Linked DNA regions of Sus scrofa. The protein of the gene in region 3 purifies or fractionates together with the protein of the main gene of each other region. This does not show direct contact. Links are inferred from orthologs where the notes say so. Each region holds a gene or a part of one and is shown on either strand. Other genes may lie near its edges.

What was found. Proteins that work in one complex are often made in the same cells at the same time.
Region 1: the proteins of CTTN (region 3) and FLNA purify together in Homo sapiens (affinity purification with mass spectrometry; 3 studies listed by BioGRID and IntAct, with this or other methods). This does not show direct contact. The link is inferred for Sus scrofa from reciprocal best matches to the Homo sapiens genes CTTN and FLNA.
Region 2: the proteins of CTTN (region 3) and ACTR2 purify together in Homo sapiens (affinity purification with mass spectrometry; 3 studies listed by BioGRID and IntAct, with this or other methods). This does not show direct contact. The link is inferred for Sus scrofa from reciprocal best matches to the Homo sapiens genes CTTN and ACTR2.
Region 4: the proteins of CTTN (region 3) and ASAP1 purify together in Homo sapiens (affinity purification with western blotting; 6 studies listed by BioGRID and IntAct, with this or other methods). This does not show direct contact. The link is inferred for Sus scrofa from reciprocal best matches to the Homo sapiens genes CTTN and ASAP1.

Annotation. Positions count from the first base shown.
Region 1 is NC_010461.5:124,891,999-124,897,350, reverse strand, and holds part of FLNA (filamin-A), read right to left. Parts: intron 4,429-5,352; exon of another isoform or gene 4,354-4,428; intron 4,116-4,353; 5' UTR 4,000-4,115; coding exon 3,627-3,999; intron 596-3,626; coding exon 347-595; intron 227-346; coding exon 129-226; intron 42-128; coding exon 1-41. UniProt on the Homo sapiens protein: Promotes orthogonal branching of actin filaments and links actin filaments to membrane glycoproteins. Anchors various transmembrane proteins to the actin cytoskeleton and serves as a scaffold for a wide range of cytoplasmic signaling proteins.
Region 2 is NC_010445.4:76,694,975-76,699,250, forward strand, and holds part of ACTR2 (actin-related protein 2), read right to left. Parts: intron 2,682-4,276; coding exon 2,549-2,681; intron 1-2,548. UniProt on the Homo sapiens protein: ATP-binding component of the Arp2/3 complex, a multiprotein complex that mediates actin polymerization upon stimulation by nucleation-promoting factor (NPF).
Region 3 is NC_010444.4:3,032,434-3,037,381, forward strand, and holds part of CTTN (src substrate cortactin), read right to left. Parts: intron 4,879-4,948; coding exon 4,730-4,878; intron 2,578-4,729; coding exon 2,488-2,577; intron 1,886-2,487; coding exon 1,729-1,885; intron 988-1,728; coding exon 916-987; intron 1-915.
Region 4 is NC_010446.5:10,417,207-10,422,558, reverse strand, and holds part of ASAP1 (arf-GAP with SH3 domain, ANK repeat and PH domain-containing protein 1), read right to left. Parts: intron 4,810-5,352; coding exon 4,694-4,809; intron 4,542-4,693; coding exon 4,474-4,541; intron 3,017-4,473; coding exon 2,909-3,016; intron 1,409-2,908; coding exon 1,180-1,408; intron 1-1,179. UniProt on the Homo sapiens protein: Possesses phosphatidylinositol 4,5-bisphosphate-dependent GTPase-activating protein activity for ARF1 (ADP ribosylation factor 1) and ARF5 and a lesser activity towards ARF6.

The DNA.
Region 1 (5,352 bases), on a different chromosome or scaffold from region 3:
TCGTCCACGTTGGGGTCCACGATCTCCTCAGGGGTGATCACCTGTCACGAGTGGAAGAAGAAGCCGTTTGGCCTGCGAGTCCCAGGATCCAGGGACGCAGCACCTCAGCCCCAGGCGGCCCACGGTACCTGAGGGATGCCCAGCCAGTCGTCGGCCTGCTGCATGGCTTCCCGCGCGTTGTTCACCGGCTTGCTGGCATCCCAAGAGTCCCAGTCGGGACACAGGCCTGCGGTGTGAGGAAGGCCGTGAGTCCGCGGGCACGCGGGACCTCCCTGCGCACCAACCCCGCCTCCCCCCCCCCCCCGCCCCGCCCCGCCCCGCAGGCAGCCCCCTAGCCCCCGCGCACCTGGAGCACAGCTGTCGACAAGGGCGCCCAGGGCCCTGCCGCTCTGCCAGTCCCGGCTGAAGTTGGTGATGGGCAGCTGCGGCAGCTTGTTCTGGATCCAGCCCAGGAGCCTCTGCTTGGGGGTCTGTTTCTTGGCCTCCTCGTCCTCCTCCTCATCCCACATGGGCATGGAGATGGAGTAGTGCAGGATCAGCGTCCAGATGAGGCCCAGGATCAGCTTGAGGTTCCCGTCCACGATGGCCTTGCTGTCTGCATGGGGAGGGAGCGGCAGAGCTGGGCAGGCCGGCCGACGGGCGCACACGGACATGGCCACGTGGGCTGGGGGGCAGCACACCCGCAGGCCCAGCAGCCCGGGCAGGAGGGGGAGTCTCTGGGTGGTGTGGGGGGGCAGAGCCTCTCTGCGCAGGTTCCTTTGAAGGGAACACATCCTTGTGTCCACATAGTGACAATGCGGCACAATGAGTGGGTGCTGCCAGAAGCCCCGGGGCTCTGGGGAGCCAGAGGAAGGACAGGGGACAATGCTGGGCTGCAGACAGGGCCAGGGGAGGCCTGGGGAGGCTCCCCCTCCTCAAAGGCAGCTCTGGACAGCGCGCGGGTTGCGTACTTCGCAGCTGCCCAAGCGGGGGCCCACTGTCCACCTCCCGGGGTCGCCAGGGGAGGCGCAGGAGGAGCAGCTGGGCCCCAGGACCTCGAGGCCAGAGCCCTGAGCTGGCCCAGAGGAAGAGGAAGGCAGGTGGGTGGGCAGTTGGGAAACAGAACTGCTACCCCAGGGTGGGCGGGTGGGTGGCGTGAGGCTGGGGAAGTGGAGGCGTTGGGCAAGGCCCCTTTGGGTGGAGGGTGTGAGCCCCACCCCACCCCCACTTCCTTCGCGCCCTCCCCTCCTCCACAGCGGGGAGGCCAGCGGGAGTTGGGCAGCAGGCCTGGTGCAGGGGAGGGGCTGGGAGCCCCAAGGAGCCAGTGGTTGGGCTGCATGGCCCTGACTCACTGGGGCCCTGCAGGGGTGGCCTGCCAGCCAGGAATGACGGGCAGGACACATTCCAGGGGCCCCCTCACCCAGCCCAGGGGGGTGGGCGGAGCCAGTGAGCCTAGGCTGGGCGCTCAGGGCCCAGCTTGGGAGCCCGGGTGGCAGAGGTCATGGGTGGGGTCCCTGAGTCTCGCTGCCTCAGCAGAGCCTGCTCAGCCGCTGCCCGCCCTCCTCGCCACCCCGCCACCTAACGGGTCACTGGGCTGCAGGCTGGTGGCCGCCAAGCTCACCACAGGGGAAGTGGTTAGGGCGGGCACCCTGCACCCCATCACCATGGCAACCCCTCCGGGCTCGGGCCCCACCCAAGGCGCTTCTGGGTCTCGGCCTCCTCAAGCGGCTGGGGGCAGGGGGGTGGGGCTCTGAGAACTGGAGAGGGCAACTCGTCTTTGGAACCCCTGCCGGCGTGTTCCACCTCCCCCAGCCATCGGAGAGAATAGTTGTCTAGTGAGTCAACTCCGGGTGGGGAGCAGGGGATGGACGCCACCAAAAGGGCCATCAATGGCAGGCCGCCTCCAAATCCAGGGAGCAGCACCTCGTGGACCAGCTCAACGCCACTCAAAGCAGAGTGGCCTCCCCGTTCCTGGGCCGGGGTTGGTCCTGGTCCTGCACCACTGCCTTGCACTGTCCCCAAAGGGCGGGCGGGCGGGAGGGTGGGAGGGGGTTCGGGCTGAGGGAACTGAAGGTTGAGAGGAGACCGAGGGCAGAGGAGCGAGTGGGCCTTTCCCCCCAGGCCCCCACCCCCAGAGTCCCGAGTCCAGCACAAGAGCCCTCGACCCACAACCACCCACGAGGGGACACACAAGGCCAAGCCCTGGAAGGTCCGGCTGGGCCCTCCCCCTGGTCCTTAGGAGGCTGCCTAGGCCCTCCCCATCCACCTCACAAAAGGAGCGAAGGACGGGGCTCAGGGTAGAGAGACGGACGGGTCGGATGGCCCCGCCCCATCCCACCCCCTTTCCCCAGCCCCCGGGGCCTGCCTGCCCCCTCCCTCCCCTAATCACTGCTGCTTTCCAACATTTTTTTGCCTTATATGGCAAAGCTCTGGGAACTAGGCCTGCTCCAGCCAGCTCACAAGAGGAGGAGAAGAAGGGAGGGGGGGAGGAGGAGACCCCCCCCAGACAACTGGGGTGTGGCCCGCCTCCCCACATCCGGTTGCCCCCCCACCCAAGGCTCAGAGATGACTCAGCTTGGCTAGACTGAGGTTGGGACTGGGGGGTGGGTCTCGGCCTGGACCTGCATTCCAGAGAAAGAGGTGGGGCCCTAGCGACCTGCCCTGAGTGCTAGGGGGCACCTGAGTGTCGGCCCCTCACTTTCTCAGGCTCAGCAAGGACCGCCCCAGGGCAATGGGGAAAGCTGGAGGGTCTCCTCCAATTCGGAGGAAAGCTTGTGCCCCTTCCCTCGCCCTTGCACATCTACCCCAAGTCACCAGTTCTGGTGCCTGTTCCCGAGGGGCTCCCCTCTCAAGTGCCTGGGAGGATGCAGTAGCCGGGTCAGTGGCAGCCTCGCCAGCCTCACGGACACGGGGCTGGCGGCGAGCCCAGCACATGCTGGACTACCTCACACCCAACTCCTGCCTTCTAGATGCAGAAGAGCAAGCTCTGCATAGAAGCAACGGTCTGGCCCCAGGTCGATAGTAACGGGATGCCCAACTAGACTACAGGCCAGCTCCCTGAACCGGCCAGCACCCAAACCCATCTCAGTTTTGCTAGCCGTGGTCCTCTCTGGCCTCCTAGTTCCTGAAAGGCGATCTAAACTTGGGCTTGGAGTCGTCTTCAGTGCGGGGCCCTAGACAATGGTAGTCCACAAACTCCAAATTCCCGCTTAGGGGAATCACAGGGCCCCCTGAAGGCAGAGGGCCCTCTCCAAACTGCTCTAGGGGGTGGAAAGCGCTGGCCTCTCCCTTGTTTGAGATGGGGCATTGGGCGCAGGGCCAGAGCCTGGCCGCTGCCCGCCCCCCCAGGCCGTCTCCCACCGAGGGTGCACTGGTGGGGGCGCGGCCTGTGGAGGATGTGAGCTCAGTCTGGGCGTGGGCCAGCCTCGGACCGGCGGGCGGGGGCGCGTAGCGGTCCACAAGCACCGCCGGCCTGCGAGCCTTTGTTCTCGAGGCCCGCACGGAGGTGGGCGGCCGCGGGGGCCCCTGGGGCAGTGCCCAGCTTTGGGGGGGGGTGTCTGCGAGAGGTCGGCCGGGGGGAGATGGGAGGACGCGCGGAGTTTCCCGCCCTCGCCCTCCCAGCGCCACGGGGCTGCCCATGCCCTCACCGATGGACACAAGCTTGATGCTCTCGCGGTCCAGGAACTCAAGCGCCACCGACACGTTCTCAAGCTGCATCTGGCGGAAGGTGGGCCTCTGATTGTGCTTGCGGTGCATCTTCTTCTGGCTGAGCACCTCGAGCAGCGCGATGAGCCGCAGCCCATCGCTCAGGTCCGTCTGCAGGTTGGCGATGCGCTTGCTCACGCACTTGAGGTGCTCGTTGCACCAACGCGTGAATGTGTTCTGCTGGATCTTCTTCCACGGCGCATCCTCCGCCAGGTCCTTCTCGGTGGCCGGCATCTCAGCGTCTCGCGTGTCGGCCCCGGTGCCCGGAGCCGCGCCCGCAGCGCTCTGGCCCGCCCGGGAGTGGGAGCTACTCATTTTGAGGCGCGAGGAGCCGAGGGGCGGTGCTGCAGCCTGGGCGAGGGGACGGCCCTTTAATTAAAGTCGCAGGCACTTCAGCGAGCGCAGGGTGAGGCAGAGAGCAGAGGTTGCGCCTGGAAGAGAGCGAGCCCTTTAAATGCGGGCGGGGGCGGGGCTAAGGGGCGGGAGCAACGTGGGGCGGGACCGAGGGTGGGGCTTCGGGCCGCACCCGCCCCGCCCCACCCCACCCGTTGGAATGCCCCCCTGAATCCCCCAGCCCCGGCGGTTTAGACTCGACCCCCCAGGCTCCGGAAGGGTCTTTGGGCCCGAAGCCGGCGAGGATGAGCCCAAGCCCTGTGATCTCCCGCCTACCCTGCGGGAAACTGCAGCGAGGGAAAGCTGAGCAGCCTCTGGCGCTGGACCACTTGGCCTCCAGCGGGCAAACCAAACAAGGGACTTTCCTTCCCCAAGGCCCCTGCGGGGGGTGGGGTGGCGCGCCCTCCCTGAGTCACGTGGGCTCCCCTCGGTCCCCCGCAGCCCCTCGCAGCCCCCTCCTCCCCCGAGCTCCGGCGCGTGGGGTTCTCTGGCCGCGCCCCAGCCCGCCGCCCAGGCAGCGGCAGCCGCAGCGGCGGGAAGGAGCCCGATCTTAAAGGCGAGCCTTCGGAGAGCGCGGGGCCGGGCCGGGCGCTGCTGCCAGCGCTTTGCGCGCGTGCGCCACGCCCGGGACACCCCGCAGCCGCCCCGCAGACCCCTTGCCCCAGCCCGCCTTCCCGCTCTGCGCGGCCCTGGCCTGCGCACCTGCGCCTGCCGGTCCCCACCGCCTCCCTCCCTCCCCGCTCCACCCGGGAGGAAATGGGGCACTGGGCCAGGAGGCCACCGGCACTCCAGGAGCCTGCGGCCTTGGAAGGGGCCCGGGCGTGCCAGTGGGCACTGGCAGAGGGCGCCGTGCGATGCGTGCACGCGTGCGGAGACGACGAGTGCCCGCCTGACCCGCCGGCCGCCCACCCGGGGCAGTCGGGGTTGCCTGTCCTGTCGGGATGGCGCCCTTCTGGACCCCGAGGGACCTGCTCAGGGGTTCCGAGAAGCCTTGGCAGGCTCTGAGCACCTGGGCTTCGTGGCCGTGTTAGTGCCGAGGGGGCCCCCAGGACAGGGGAGCCAGGGGACTGCAGGGGGCAAAGCACGGAAGGCTGCCAAGCCCTGCCCAGGAGCCAGGACTGTGTCTCCAGGCAATGGGGAGCTCTTTGCTCCAAATCAGTTTTCTGTAGATGCCTGGAGACTGTGGGAGGTTGCTGTGGGGAGACATAGATCGGCAAAAGCCCAGGGTCAAGAGGCCTGTCGGGGACATCCCTGCCACCCTCTTCAGTCAAGAGA
Region 2 (4,276 bases), on a different chromosome or scaffold from region 3:
AGTGCTGGCCCGCAGCCCCCTCACCTGGCTGCTGGTTCTCTCTCACTACCTTCCTAACCCAGAGGCCAGGCAACAGCAACTCCTTTTCCTCACGGCTGTTGCTCTCTCCCTCCTCCCTGCAACGCCACGCTGTTCAGAAACTCATCGCCATCGGACCATGCCACCCATCAGCCCTCTTTGCCCAGGTCATTTCTTCTCACACCTGCTCTGCTGGGCGTGGGCACGATACGCTCTCTCCACCCTGTCCTGATGTCATCCTTAGTGACCTTGTTCTTCTCCCCCTCACTCGGCAGGATACACAGCTGGGTGCCACTCTGCTCTGCCCCTGCTCTCCAGCAACTGAACACGGTGTGAGAGGAACTCAACAGCTAGCTTGAGAAGGACCCTCACCACGACTGAGCCCCTGGGCACTGCAATCCCTCAACACTTCTCTCTTCCACTCTCCCGGAAACCATCTCAAGCCTCCCCCTATACGTGATAAACCCTGGCCGCCTCCTCCCCCTCCCAACCCATCTTGCTACCTCCACCTCCCTCAACAATCCTCTCACCACACAACCCTTAACGAGCCCTTAAACAAGTCAGATCCTACCATGTCTCTGCTCAGGACTCTCCTGAGACTTTCTCTCTCGCTAAGAGCTAAGCCAAATTCTTTCCCACAGCTGAGCCAGACCTGCGTCCTGACAGCCGTTCTGAGCTCACCTCCCTGCGCACTCTGCTCCTGCCACACCTGCACATCCCAACCAGAGCTGTTCCTGCCTGCAAGATTCTCCTCCCACAGAGTCGGGCTGCTCCCTCGCTTGCTCCCTTCAGGCCTGTGCTCAGAAGTTACCTTGTCCCACCAGAGTCCTTCCCTGATGACACTGCACGAAGGAGCAGACCATCTCACCCATCACCTCCACCTTCTCGCTCCTACCCTGACTTTCCTTCACAGTGCTCATTACTGCTAATACATTATTCACAGGCTAAAAACGGGGACTTATTTTTGTTTTGTTTCTCTCAGCACCTAGACAAGTGTTTGACACCCAAAAGTAGTTCAAGAAATATTTGCTGGGGAGTTCCCATTGTGGCTAAGCAGGTTAAGGACCCAACACTGGCTCTGTGAGAATGTGGGTTCGATCCCTGGCCTCACTCAGTAGGTTAAAGGATCCTGAGTTGCCACATGCTGCAGCGTAGTTCATAGTTCGCAGATATGGCTCAGATCTGGAGTCGCTGCAGCTGTGGTGTAGGCTGGCAGCTGCAGCTCCGATTTGACCCCTAGCCTGGGAACCTCCATATACCACAGGTGCAGCAGTAAAAAGGAAAAATAATCACTCGAGACTGATTTTAAATTATATGTATAACTCAATAAAATCAGAAAAATGAGTGAAGTACTTAGACATTTTAATTTCAACAATGTGAGTCACAAATGAGATTTGTAACATTTGTATCTCCAATATATACATAGTGTCTCTGCGGGATATAATCTCATTATCTAAAACAACTGATCCAAGTTGGTGAGATGAACCTCAGAGTTTAACTCAAAATTAAATGACTCTTGGTGTTTAGTATGTATACCGTACTTAACACAGTCCAGGCTTAGAGGGGGAAAAAAGCCATATAACCATTAACTACTGCATACTAGTTTAAAATTTCCTTCTTACTCTACACATCAGCTACTACCAATTAAAGTCTGTTTCAAGGGGAGTTCCCTTGTGGTGTAGCAGGTTAAGGATCTGGCATTGTCACTTCAGCGGCTCAGGTTGCTGCCATGACATGAGTTCAGCCCCTGGGGAACTTCCACATGCTGCAGGTGAGGCCAAATAAATAAAGTCTGTTTCAAGAGCTATAACAGTTGACAGGGATGCAAAAGAACTGGAGACATGGTGTTATACTACCAGACTGAGGAGATAAAACATATGCAAGAAACAGCCAGAAAATAACAGAATCAGAAATACGAGACAGTCCAAGAGCAGCACGCTGATTACATAGTCAAAGAATAAGTTAAGAAATAAAAATAAAACCCAACGGAGGCATTTCTCACTGCATTTAAGGGCACTTTGGTTGCACCAGGCTGTTTTGTTACAGATGAACCAACATCTGGCCCTGAACCTAATCGCCTCTATCCACTGAAAACAGAGGTGACTCAACACTAGGATCACTCTGAGAAAAGCTCATCTTGGGGGGGTCCCGTTGTGGCGCAGCAGAAACAAATACAGCTAGGAACCATAGGGTTGTAGGTTTGATCCCTGGCCTTGCTCAGAGGGTTAAGTATCCAGCGTTGCTGTGAGCTGTGGTGTAGGTCACAGACTCGGCTTGGATATGGTGTTGCTGTGGCTCTGGTGTAGCTCCAATTAGACTCCTAGCCTGGGAACCTCGATATGTTGCAGGTGTGGCCCTAAAAAAGCAAAAATAAAGGTTCATCTTGAGGGTTATCTACTTCCTCCCTGTTCCAGGCAGACTGAACTAGGAGTTTGTTTAGGAAGACCTCTTGCTCCCTCTGGTGGTTAAAAAGTATGTTAACAGTGTTTTAAAAGTACGTTAACAATTGGATTATTGACTTGATACTTACAGAGAGTTTTTCCACATCTCCCTTCAACACTCGTTCTAAGTAAAGCTGTTTAAGCTCTCGTTCCAAACGTGATGGCAGCCCAGGGTACATAGTAGATCCTCCAGAAAGCACAATGTGCTTATAGAATTCAGATCTAGAAAGACACAATAGGTGTTCATTACAGGTTTCAGATCAGTAAACAGTACTTCTGAGCTCCTTTATTTACATCAGCCTCAGGTGGGTGCTGGGAAAATTAAATAAAATTCAACATGTAAACCACAGGGCTGCATGTTTGCTACTACTACTGTTCACAGATAAACCCTTTTTATATATAAAGTATTTATTATCATTTATTATCACGTTGATGGCAATACTTCTAAAGCACATATCTTCTTACAAATGTAATTGAGTCTTTTAACAATGCAGTTTACACTACAAGCCTGTTGTGTTTGGACTGTGCTATCACAGTGCTTTCCTGGAGCCACAGAGGTGTGATTGTTTACTACAATTAACCAGAGTCGGCCATGACTCCAGTTCTTGCTTTTGACTTTTCCCATTTGCCTTCTGCCATTTTTTGTTCCTTTGCCTTGAGGCTGTCAGCTATTATTTATGGTTAGATTGATGTGTTAGCTTCTTAGAGCAGTCCTCTCTTTCCTCCTTAAATATGATGTTGTTGGTCATGATACCAGATAATCAAAACTAAAATAATTGCATATGTAGAAAAAGTACTACAATCTGAGTGAGAGAGGAACTCTTCTCATAGTAAAGCTCAGGACCTGAGTCACATCTGTTTTGGTTTCATTCAAACTTGCCTCCAGGTTTTTATTTAGTTCCAGGTCCTCAAGGGCTCAAGCTATTGTAATTCTAGCTTCTAGAAGAAGTTTTGTATTATATTTAATTGTGGAAGTATGCAAATGAGTATAACATAAACTAAGTAGTTAAGGATCTGTATCCATGAACATTTTACATGTGTGCTTTCCACATGAAAAACAAAATCTGAGTTGTGCTACTTGCTAAACCTGATTCCAGTGCTTTGGGAATGCCAAAACATTAATCACCACCAACAGGAATGCACATATAAATATAACTATTAATATAGCTATTAGTGATCATTAAATCAAGGGACCAAAAACATCTACCTATTCCCTACTATGTGCATTTATCATAATTATGAAGTCTAGACTAGATTTTTTTTACCATCTTCCATTAGATTTATAGCCTGTTGTAAGCCAAGAGCTACTTTTATTAATTTCCATTATTGTCCTGTTCCCCAGCCATCCCATAAAATTTTTGGCTATTTCACTCAAGGTTAAATAAACACTTGTTTAATAAAATGCTTCTGAGTGAATTTCTCAATAACATGATTATAAAAGACAGCTTTCTAACTATGACTCAACTCTAGATACAATAAAAGATTATACATCTCTTTATACAAATAAAACATTTTGTATGGCAAAACAACAACATAAGAGACAAAAGAAAAATTACAAAATATCTGCAACAGGTATCACAAAGCTAATACAAAAAGAACTTCTTTGAAAACTGAGAGAAAAAAATTACAAAAATTCTATAGAACAGACAAAAGGCACAAACAGGTAATTCACCAGGAAGACAGACATAGAAAAATATGCTCAACTTCACACTTAAGGGAAACATAAATTAAAACTACACCAAGATATCATTTCTCACTCATCAGACTGGCATCAAAGTATTTTTTGTCAGCTTTTTGGCTGACAAACTCTGAACAAG
Region 3 (4,948 bases):
GTCCTTGCTGGGGGAGGACAGGCAGGTGGCAGGCGGCCCCTAAACACACCAGGGTTCGGAGGCAGCCAAGCAGCCCTTGCTACGAGGGCAAGAACGCGTTCGCTGAGGCTCCGAAAGCCAGGCTGCTCCTCCTGAACAGGGAAGCCTGGAGGGAGCCCCGGCTGAACGGGAGGGGCCGGGCGGGCGGGGGCGGGCGAGACCCCCCCAGGAGGGAAGCTCTTCCCAGGGCAGAGGACGCTCCCCGGAGTGGCTGGACGCCTGGACCAGGAACCACGCTACAGGGGCTGGAAGTTCGAAGAGGATGAACGGGACCTTGGGGGGCCCACAAAATCCTCAGCAGCTGCGAGGGGAGACGTGGGGCCCTAGCAGTGGAGAACGTGGTTGGCACCAGTGGGCCAGGTGACAGTGGTGACCACCACGGCGGAGGACAGACGGAGGACAGACAGCCACAGACGCTGCCAGGATGCAGGGCCTTGGCCGGGCCGCCAAGGGTCACCCCAGAAGGAAAAGCGCCAAGGGCCTGAGGGGCAGGGGGCTGCTGGGGGGCTGCTGGGGGGCTGCTCCGGGTGGGATGGGAGGGCACTGGGGCCAGGCCCAGACAGGACCAGGACCAGAGAGTTCTGGGTACAGCTGGTAAACGTGAGGGCCTCTGCAGGTGTGGCGGTCTCAACAGTGACTCTGCACTCTTGGAGGAAACCGCTTCTGTAGCAGTGTCCCGGTTTGGGCTTTTTAGGGGGACGGGGCACCCTGCAGCTCTCAGGCGATTCAGGGAGGGAAAGCCAGGAACTCTCTGCACTGCATTTACTCTTTCAAGTAACTTGGAAAATGCAGCGAAATCCCCATTTCTAAAACGGTGAGGGAGGCTTGGAGGGACGGCGGCGGCCCTCCCGCGTGGGGCCCGGGCCCCTTTCTCACCAGCCTGGTAGTCGTACAGGGCGATGGCCGTGATTCCAAGGTCGTTCTCGTACTCGTCATAGGCACCTTCCTCTGCAACACAGAGGACCCCGTGAGGGCCCGGGCCCCCTCCGCTGACGACCTTCCCGAGGCTGCGAGGCTGCGAGGCTGCAGCGGAGGCCAGGCGGGAGGGCGCTTTCCTGGGGCGGCCAGGCCCCACCCGCCAGGAGGACGGGCTTCAAGGGCCTGGCTCCCGGCTCCAGCCCACCTGGCGAGGGCCAAGGACTCTGACAGGTCCCAGGACACTTTCAGAAGGTAACTTTTTACGTTTTAAATACTTCGCACTAATTTTAAGAACGGTCACATCCGAGTTAGGGGAATGGCAAGTGGGAGACGGCCGAGCCCGCCTCACAGCGCGCTGGGGGAGGCAAGAGCTCTGCCCTGTGTCGACTCTGGGACGAGGCGCCTGTCCCTCCCAGGCGGAGAAGGCCTGGGTTAGGCCCATCCGGGGACATTCCCGGACGCCTCATCTTTACAAGGAAGAGCTGGACCTCGGCGTTCAGCCCCCTGGGAAGACGTCCGAGGCCTCACGCTGCTCTGGCTCCTGCCAGCGTCCAGAGACCGACTGGGACCAGAGGGCAGCAGGAACCCCCTCCCTCAGGCCCGCCCTGCTCAGAGGCCCCCACACACTCAGGGGTCTTCCTGGAACCCCGACTCCCGAGGCTGGGCCCGTCCAGAAGGAGAGGAGGCCGGAGGGCACGGCTGGCGGGGGGCAGCAGGGGAAGAGGCGACTTTCAGAGAACGGGGGCAGAGGGGACAAGGCAGGGGCCGCACCTGCTGGGTAGTGGCCCGGGGCCTCCGTGCTCTCGTAGACGGCCTCCGGCGCGCAGGCCTCTCGGTAGCCGGCAGCCTCCACGCTGTACACCGGCTCAGGCTCGTGTGTGCTCTCGGGGGCCCTGTAGCTCGGCTCGGCCTGGAGGGGAGCCGCGTCCTGTGAAGGGTCAGGGAGACAGTTCTCGCGGCCCGGACAGGGTCCCTGAGCCACACAGCCGCGCTGCAGTCCCAGCTGAGACGAACTGAGGACGCCTGGGTCCCAACCATGGTACAGCGGCAGCGGCGAGAGGACCAGGGCCCAGCCCCTCCCCCACAGTCCTGTTCTCGCACCTGGACACCCCTGTCCTACTGCCACCGGAGACCCGTCGGGCGCCCACCTGCCGGCACCGCCAGCCGTCAGGGCTGCTTTTTCCAGGGGCGGGTTCGCCCTGTTGCCTTGCCAGGCCCCAGACCTCCGAGGCCACCCAATCCCCCAGGGCACCTCTGAGGGCAGCTCCACAGCGTCTCCCCATCCCACGGCCAGAGCAGCCAAGCCCGGGGGGCGGGGGGGCCGTTCGCGCCAGGCCCTCTGTGGAGGGGAGGCGAGGGAGTGACCACCGAGTCACACGCAGGAGGACACCAACAGCGCTCTGCTGACACCCCCGAGCTGCAACCAAACTCCCCGAGCCCTGACACCAGCCGCGGTTTGAGGGTCTCCGTGTCCACGGGGCGCTGACCCGGGCAGTCAGACTCACCTACAAACTGAGCAGAAGCACCCACCTCGTAGACGGGGCTCGACGGCGGCCTCTCCGGAGCGGGCTGAGGCGTGGGGGACGCGGGCGGCGTGGGCTTCTGGGCCCGGGCCTGCTCCTACGGTTCAGAGACGGGGGTGGTCAGCGGGGAGCCGGCCGCGCCACGTCACCGGCAGCAGCACCTTGGGAGTCCGCAGAGAGGGGACACTGCAGACGTCGGGGCGGGTCTGCTCTGCAGCACGGGTCCCCGTGAGTCCTCCCAACAGACCCCCGGGCCCGCGCCCCCCCGCCGCCCCTCACGACCCCGGGGCTGCTGGGACCCAAGCCAGAGGCAGCAGGCGGCCGGTCACCCACACGTGCCCCAGGGGCCCACGTCTGCCTCGGACGCGGAAACACAGGGAGTGGTCTCTGCACGTCACATGGACGCGACCTCCAGACACAGGGAACGGGCCGTGGGGGAGATGCTGAGGTCCTGACCCCAGGCCTGCGAATACGGAGCCTTCCAGGCACGAGGCTGCACCGGTGGCCAGGCAAGGACCTGAGCTGCGGGGTGGCCTTGGCGTGTCCTTACAAGAGGGGGCAGAGGGAAAGCAGAGGTCGTGGGGGTTAGGAAGCACCAGAGGCAGGGACACGCTCCTCGGGAGCCGCCAGCAGGAGCCAGCGCCGTGCCGCCTAGGACTGCTAACGTCCAGACGGTGCGCTGACAAACGGGGCCCAGCCCCTGCACGGTGGGAACACGGCGCAGCGGCCCCGGGAAGCCAGTGCTACAACCGAAAGGCTGGATTTCCTCCCCGCCACAGATAAGGACCTGAGGCTCCAGGGAGGTGGGTGGCTCTTGGGGGTGGGGGGGGGGTGGGGCAGGAGCTACACCTGCTCCGCCAGCCTGCCTCTCCTACAGGGGACGGCACCACTGTCGTGTGTCCTGAGACCCGCACAGCTCTCGGCACCAGAGCAGCTCTGCATGGCCTGCAGAGGGCGGTCACGAGGCCCCACAGCGCCTGGAACAGCGCTAAGTACCCATGTCTCCTTGAAGCGGCCACGCTTGGGCTGGGCTAAGCATGGGCTCCCGGAGTCCCAGGCCTGTGGCCACACTGCAGTGGCACAAGGTTCTGTGACAGCCACTCCCGACCCGGCCGGGAACAGAGACACCCGTGGGCTCTCGAGCTCTCAAGAGTTGAGAGCCGAGCATCGTGAACCCCGCCTGCCCAGGGGAGTAAGTACTCAGACGCCAGCGCCCCCCACACTGCAGGGCTCAGGTGGACAGGGAGAGGGCAACCCGGCCAAAGGGACTGCAAGGGAACCTGTGAAGCCAAGAGGCTGGATACAGCGACCCAAAGCCACTTTCTTCCCAAGCCTTCCACTCCTTCTGCATCGTTCAGGTCTCGGGGGTTAAACTCCAAGTCACAAAACGAGAAACAGACGCCTCACAGCGTGATTACGACGAAGGGAAACCACAACGTCCCAGCAATTCAGGAACGGCACGTGGTCATCACGCAGGCCTCTGTCACTGCGACCTCACGCACACGCCAGCACGCGGATCGGCTCATTTAACCCGGTCCCCAGAGCCCGGCGTTTCCTGCCCACGCGTTTCTTTCCTCAACCACCGTTCTCGCTGGACCGGGTTCCCAGGGCCCTCACTGCAACCCAGGAGGGGGTGTCCACGGTGGAAGGAAAGCCTCGCGGTCTGTGATACATCACGCACGTCGCTTCAGCTTCTACCTACGCCCCCAGTGTCGAGGGGCTTCCACAAGCAGCTCAGAGCCGAGCCCAGGTCGCCCAGAGCAGGTGACAAGGTGGGACCAGAGCCATTAGGCCTCAGTCCCTCCAGAAAAGCTGGGGAAGGCGAGTCCACACCCTCCTGCTCACTCGTCACGGCTCCCGTCTCCACCCTCCCTCGTGGGAAAACAGGATGAAGGTCCCAGGCCGCCCCACAGCCCCAGGCTCCAGGAGCAGGTGCCACGCGGGCAGGCGCACTGCGTTCATGGGGAACCCCTGTGAGCCCAGCCGCCCCCCAGAGAGTGGGTTCCTGGGGTGCGACGAGCGCAGAGGCTGCGGGACTGAGGACAGGCTGGTGGGCGCCGCAGCACTGGGTCAGCAGGGGCAGGACTGGGGCAGGTCAGTGGACGAGCGTCTGGGGACAATTTAGGTCCCTGAGAGCAGAGCGTTCGGGGCGAGCCCAGTGCCATCCCCAAAACCTCTCTGGATCGCAGATAGGGAGCGAGGCAAGCCCGCAGCCCGAGGTCCTGGGCCCTCTGGCCACGCTGACTCACCTCCAGCTGCCGCCGGGCTTCTTCCTGCTCCTGCCTCTCCTTCGCCATCCTCTGCGCCCGCTCCGCCTCCGCCTTCCGCCGGTCCTCCTGCTCCTTCTCCTTGGCCAGGTTTTCAAAGTTGGCTCTGATGTTGCTCGTTTTGCTGTTCACTACAGAGGAAGGAGAGGTGCCCTCAGCACCGCCTGCAGTGTGGGGTGTCCAGGTCAGCGCCGCGGGGGA
Region 4 (5,352 bases), on a different chromosome or scaffold from region 3:
TGAAATGGGGAAGCAAGGCTGGCAGGTGAAGCCTTTGGCTTCCGTGTGCCATGGCTGTTCCGGTCACTGGTCATCGCCGAGGAGTACCGTTCACGCCCAAGCCTTATTTTCACATTCTCCGTTATCATCTCTGAGGCCGTTTGGGGTCTCTCTAAGAACACAGCTCCCATTTATAAGCCCATTTCAATGGAGAATAAGCTCTGAAAAAACACTGTTTTGAATAAAGCTCACATTTCCCAGAAAATAGCCCCACTGTGATCCAAATAGGCGCGGCATTGTGCCCTGGGCCCTCCAACCTGCCTTAGCAGGAGCCGAGGCCACAGGGAGGACCCCGCGCGTGGGGGCTGCAGCTCTGGGTGCCGCGCAATTCCTCCTGCGCGGGGACATGGACACTCGGGGCAGGGCCCCTGTGGAATCGGGGCAGCCCAGGTGCTTCGTGGCTGCAGAATCAGTAGCCCCCCCCTCACGGGGTCCCCCCATGAGGGTGCTGGATACGATCCAGCCCTGGGGGGTGGGGGGTGGATCCCTCATGAAAAACCACTCACCATGAAAAACCACAGGACTGCGGGCTCAGCTCACATAGGCCTGGGCGAGATCCCAAACACCTGAGACCCTCAGGCCTGCCCCTGGACCCCTCTGAACCTCGGCCCCTGTCTCAGGGTGCTAGCAAGTGAACTACGTACCTCACTCTGAGTGGAAAAACGCAGGCAGGCTCAGGGCCTCTCATAAAGCAAGAGCTTCCTAACTACCAACACCACTGTCACTACTCGCGGCTTCAGAAGACAGACATTTTAGAGTAAAGGAAGTCTGCAAAGAAGAAGTGAAGTTCTATTTCACAGTACACAGGAAAAGGCACTGGTTTGGAAGCCATGTGGACCCTGGACTGAATCTCAACTCCACCACTTACCAGCTGCATGACCTTGGGTAGAGGTCCCTCTACCTCAGTTTCCTCATCTATACAATGGGCACAAAGCAAATACCGCACTGGATCGCTTGAGGTTCTCAAGAGACAAGGTGCGAGCAGTGCCCGTGACACCCCTTCCTCAGCTGTAACCTGGCAAATGGCAAGGTCCCTATTTCAAGCTGTCCCTGAGGTCACATCCCACCTGCCACTCCAATGTACCCGGGTCAGCTCTCAGCTCTGAGGATGGAGTCGAAAGGCCTTCTCAAGGCTCGTACCTTTCCCGGAGTTTCTAGGAGGCAGCGGGGGCGCCTCTGTGGTCGGTGATGTGGGCGAGTCTGTGCTTGTGGAGACGAAGATCTGGTTGGTGAAGGCGCCGTAGGAGAGCCGCTGTTTGTCCCGTGGAGTGCTGAACCCCGGCAGCGACAGCTTGTCCTGGGGCGAGATGCTGGAGGAGTGGCAGAAGCTCTGAGGTCTGGGCGAGCGCTCCTTCTTGATGGGGCTCGGCTGGCAAAGGAAAGGAACCGTGCGGTGGGTGAGCTGACCACACCCTGCCGGGGTGCGGAGGACTCCGCGGGGCAGGCTTAGGTGGGAATCTGGGTCCCCGGGGCCCTCCGCACGCAAAAGCCTGAGAGCCACCACACAGTGCAGGGGAAACATCCAGAGAGGACCCACCCTTTGGGTTCTCCTGACACTGCCAGGGCCCTGCCAGGGACCTGCTGCTTGGGGTCCCAGTATTCAGAAGCATCAGGTCACAGATTTAACCTTTGATCTGCAAACACTGCCTCTGGGCAGGGCACGTTCACCAGCATCTGAGCACTCGGGTGCGTTCACTCTTCTGCCTCTTTGATGCCGAAGTTCTCTCCTCGGCTCTCTCCTCATTTCACATCCTCTTGGGCAGGAAGCTCCCCCACGCCCGGGGTGGTGACGGAGACCTAAGGCTGATGACTCAGACCCGAGGGTCCCACCCAACCTCGTGGACTCTGAACACCATCAACCACTGACAAGGGACTGCTGGAGTGTGCTCCTGACGGCATCAGCACCCATGCAACTTCCCAGCTGGAACCCTCAGTGGCATCGAGAGCCACCAGGTCCTGCAGAGAGCTCGGCAATGGCCCTTGGCACATACCTTGTGCAGGTGCTCACCAGCTGATGCAAAAATGCCTGCATGAACCCTTGGAGGTAAATAAGCATGAGCTGTGACAGAGTCACATGGAACTGGGATTGACACCCAAGATCGTCTTTACTCGCTATGAGACGTTAGATAAACAGTAAAAATTCCCTGTGTGTCAGTTTTCTCCTCTGTGGGGGGGCGGCGGGGGGGGCAATAAGCAACACCCCAGTGGGCTTTGGGTAAAGATGATCTGAGGTAACACACGGGCTGACTGTCGCCTAGTCCATATTCAAATAATCAGTGACAACTTTTCATTTACTAGATTTTTGAAGGGTAATTTTATATGTCGACGGGGCTAGGCTATGCTGCACAAGCGTTTGGTCAAACACGAGTCTAGATGTTGCTGTGAAGGTATTTCTTAGATGTGATGACCATTTAGCTTAGATTTCGAGTAAAACTGGTGGGCCTCATTTACTTCGTTGATGGGCTCAAAAGACTGAGGCCCCCCGCCCCCACCCCGGCCGCAGAAAGAAGGCGGCATTCTGTTCCCACGCTCAGGACTGCACCCTCAACTCCTGCCGGAATCTCCAGCCGGCTGGCCTGCTCTGTGTATTTTGGACTTGCCGGTCCCGTCATCACAGGGGCCGATTCCTGAAAGCAGATTTCTGAGTCTCTACACACACCCCCCCACCCCGACTGGTTGATTTCTCTGGAGAACCCTGCCCGATTCGAGGGCTACTAAGGGGCGCCTAGTAAGCATCGAAAACAAGGAAAACGGCCCTGGTGAATCAGGCCCTGGGACCAAAACCCGTCTCAGAAGGAAAGGATCTCATCTGCTGGGTGTAGGCACAGGAAGAAGCGTTTAGGGGCTCAGAGGCGTCACTGACACTCACCTTGTCGTCCAGATCATCGTCGCTTTCGTCCATCTCCTCCTGTCGGAGATTCCACTCATACTCTACGTGCACGTGTGGATTGAACTTTCCAGATTTAGCCTGGGAAAGCTGAAAGTACGAGCAGACGTAACTAGTTTAATTTAAATGTCAGACCTTGATAGTACACAAACGGCAAATCCCACCTTACGCCTGGCTTCAGAGTCATCACCAGTAGCTGTAGTGTGGGCAAAACGTTGATTATACAAGTGGGATTGCTGCTGGACAGACGTAAGAGGAACTGCAAAAATGATAGGTGGAGCCTTTTTAACTTTGATAACTTGACGTCTCTCCAAAATTCAAAGCTTTCTTGCTAATATTAAAACGAGCCTCAGGAGTTCCTGTCCTGGCTCAGCGGTAACAAATGTGACGAGTCCAGGAGGACATGGGTTCGATCCCTGGCCTTGCTCAGTGGGTTAAGGATCTGGCATCGCTGTGAGCTGTGGTGTGGGTTGCAGGCTCGCTTGGGTCTCCCACTGCTGTGGCTGTGGGGTGGGCCAACAGCTGCAGCTCCGTTTTAACCCCTAGGCTGGGAAGCTCCCTATGACGCTGGTGCGGCCCTAAAAAAAAAAAGAAAAAAAAAAGAAAAGCCACCCCCCGCCCCCCAAGATTCTTAAAAAGGCAAATTCCTGGCTGGAAGGAAAAATCAGAGTAAGTGAAGCATGAGAGACAGGCCTTTAATGACAATCCCAGTTCAACATGTGGCCCACTTTCTTAGTCTTAAAACGGGGCAGGGAGAAGGCCCACTTCCTCAAAGGGTTCTTCTAAGAATAAAGGGGGACCACGGCTGTGCCTGGCCCGGGCCCTCGGCAGAATCCCCAGGGAACGCGACTTATCTTTCCCATTGCCCTGTTTCCAGCGGATCAGAGAACCGTGCTCCATGCAGTTACAAGCAAGGCCAAGCGGGGTCGGGAGGTGAGTGGTAGATAAGGATGGGGAGGGGGACATTCAGAAAACCACGACACCCTCACCTATACCTGCCCTATTTTTGGAACTGGCTCCTCCAACAATTCTTTACTGTTAAGCTACAGACTAATGGTCTAGCAAATAAAAAGCAGGACCTCAATCCACCAATCCGTCTGGTCTGAGAACTCCCAAATGTCTTTCAGCTGCAACACTCTAACTCGACTCAAAAGACATGTAGACGACAAATGTTATCACCGTACTATTTTTTTCCAAATATAGTCTTAGTGCTTGTCTGGATTTCTTTAGCCAATGTTAAAAAAAAAAAAAAAAAAAGAGTTCCCGCTGCGGCAAAGTGGGTTAAGAACCCAACTGTGGCAGTGTGGGTTCGATTCCCAGCCAGGAGCTGTGGGTTAAAGGATCCAGCATTGCCACAGCTGTGGTGCAGGTGGCAGCCGTGGCTGGGATTCAATCCTTGGCCCAGGAACTTCCATATATTGCGGGTGCAGGCATTAAAAAAAAAACCAAAAAAAAAAAACCCTGCTTCTTTCATTTCCAGTTGTGGTTTCGAGAAGGCTGTTTTAAGGCAGGTGGTCTAAGCCCCCTCTCACTCCCACGCTGCTTACCAGATCCTCGCACTGGGTGGCTTTCAGTCTCTTTGCTATGTCCAGGGCAGTCTCTCCAGCCTGGTTAACTAAAATGAGAGGAATACATTCGCATGATTAGCTAAGACACATCTTGAACAGCCAAAGAACAAGACTCACATTGCAGTGGAACAGGCGTGTCTCAGTTGCAGCCAATCAAACATGCTCACTGCGGTTATTCACAGACCTCAGCCCCACTTACCCACGTCCACAGTGGGCTTGCTCCGGAGAAGCAGCTTCAAGCACTCAGGTTTGCCGTACATACTACAGTAGTGCAGAGCTGTATTCCCCAGCGCTGTCTGCTTGTCTAGGTTTCCACTGAAAGAGGAAGACATTAGGAAAAAAAATGACTTGCTCTACAACTTAAGATTCACCATTTTTCTTTTCTGTGCTAATAACTGAGTTAAATTTGAGACCTAATTCTTATAAGCAGAGACAGGGATATCTTTAAGACGACACCTAAGTTTCTAAGCAACGTGTAACAGCCTGCATTTATTCAGCATCTACTACGTGTGGGACAGATACACGTTTCTTACATGTATTAGCTCATTTAATCTTTTTTAAAAAGTATTTTATTTTGGCCATGGTGTGCAGTGGCTTGATGTGGGAATCTCAGTTCCCAGACCAGGGACTGAACCTGGGCCATGGCAGTAAAAGCACTGAGTCCTAACTGCTAGACCACCAGGGAACTCTTAACTCATTTGATCCCTATATCCATCTGATAGAATAGGTATATGTATACATACACACACACACACATATATATATATATATATATATTTTTTTTTTTTTTTGGTCTTCTCCAGGGCAACACCTGCAGCAAATGGAGGTTCCCAGGCTAGGGGTCGAATCGGAGCTGCA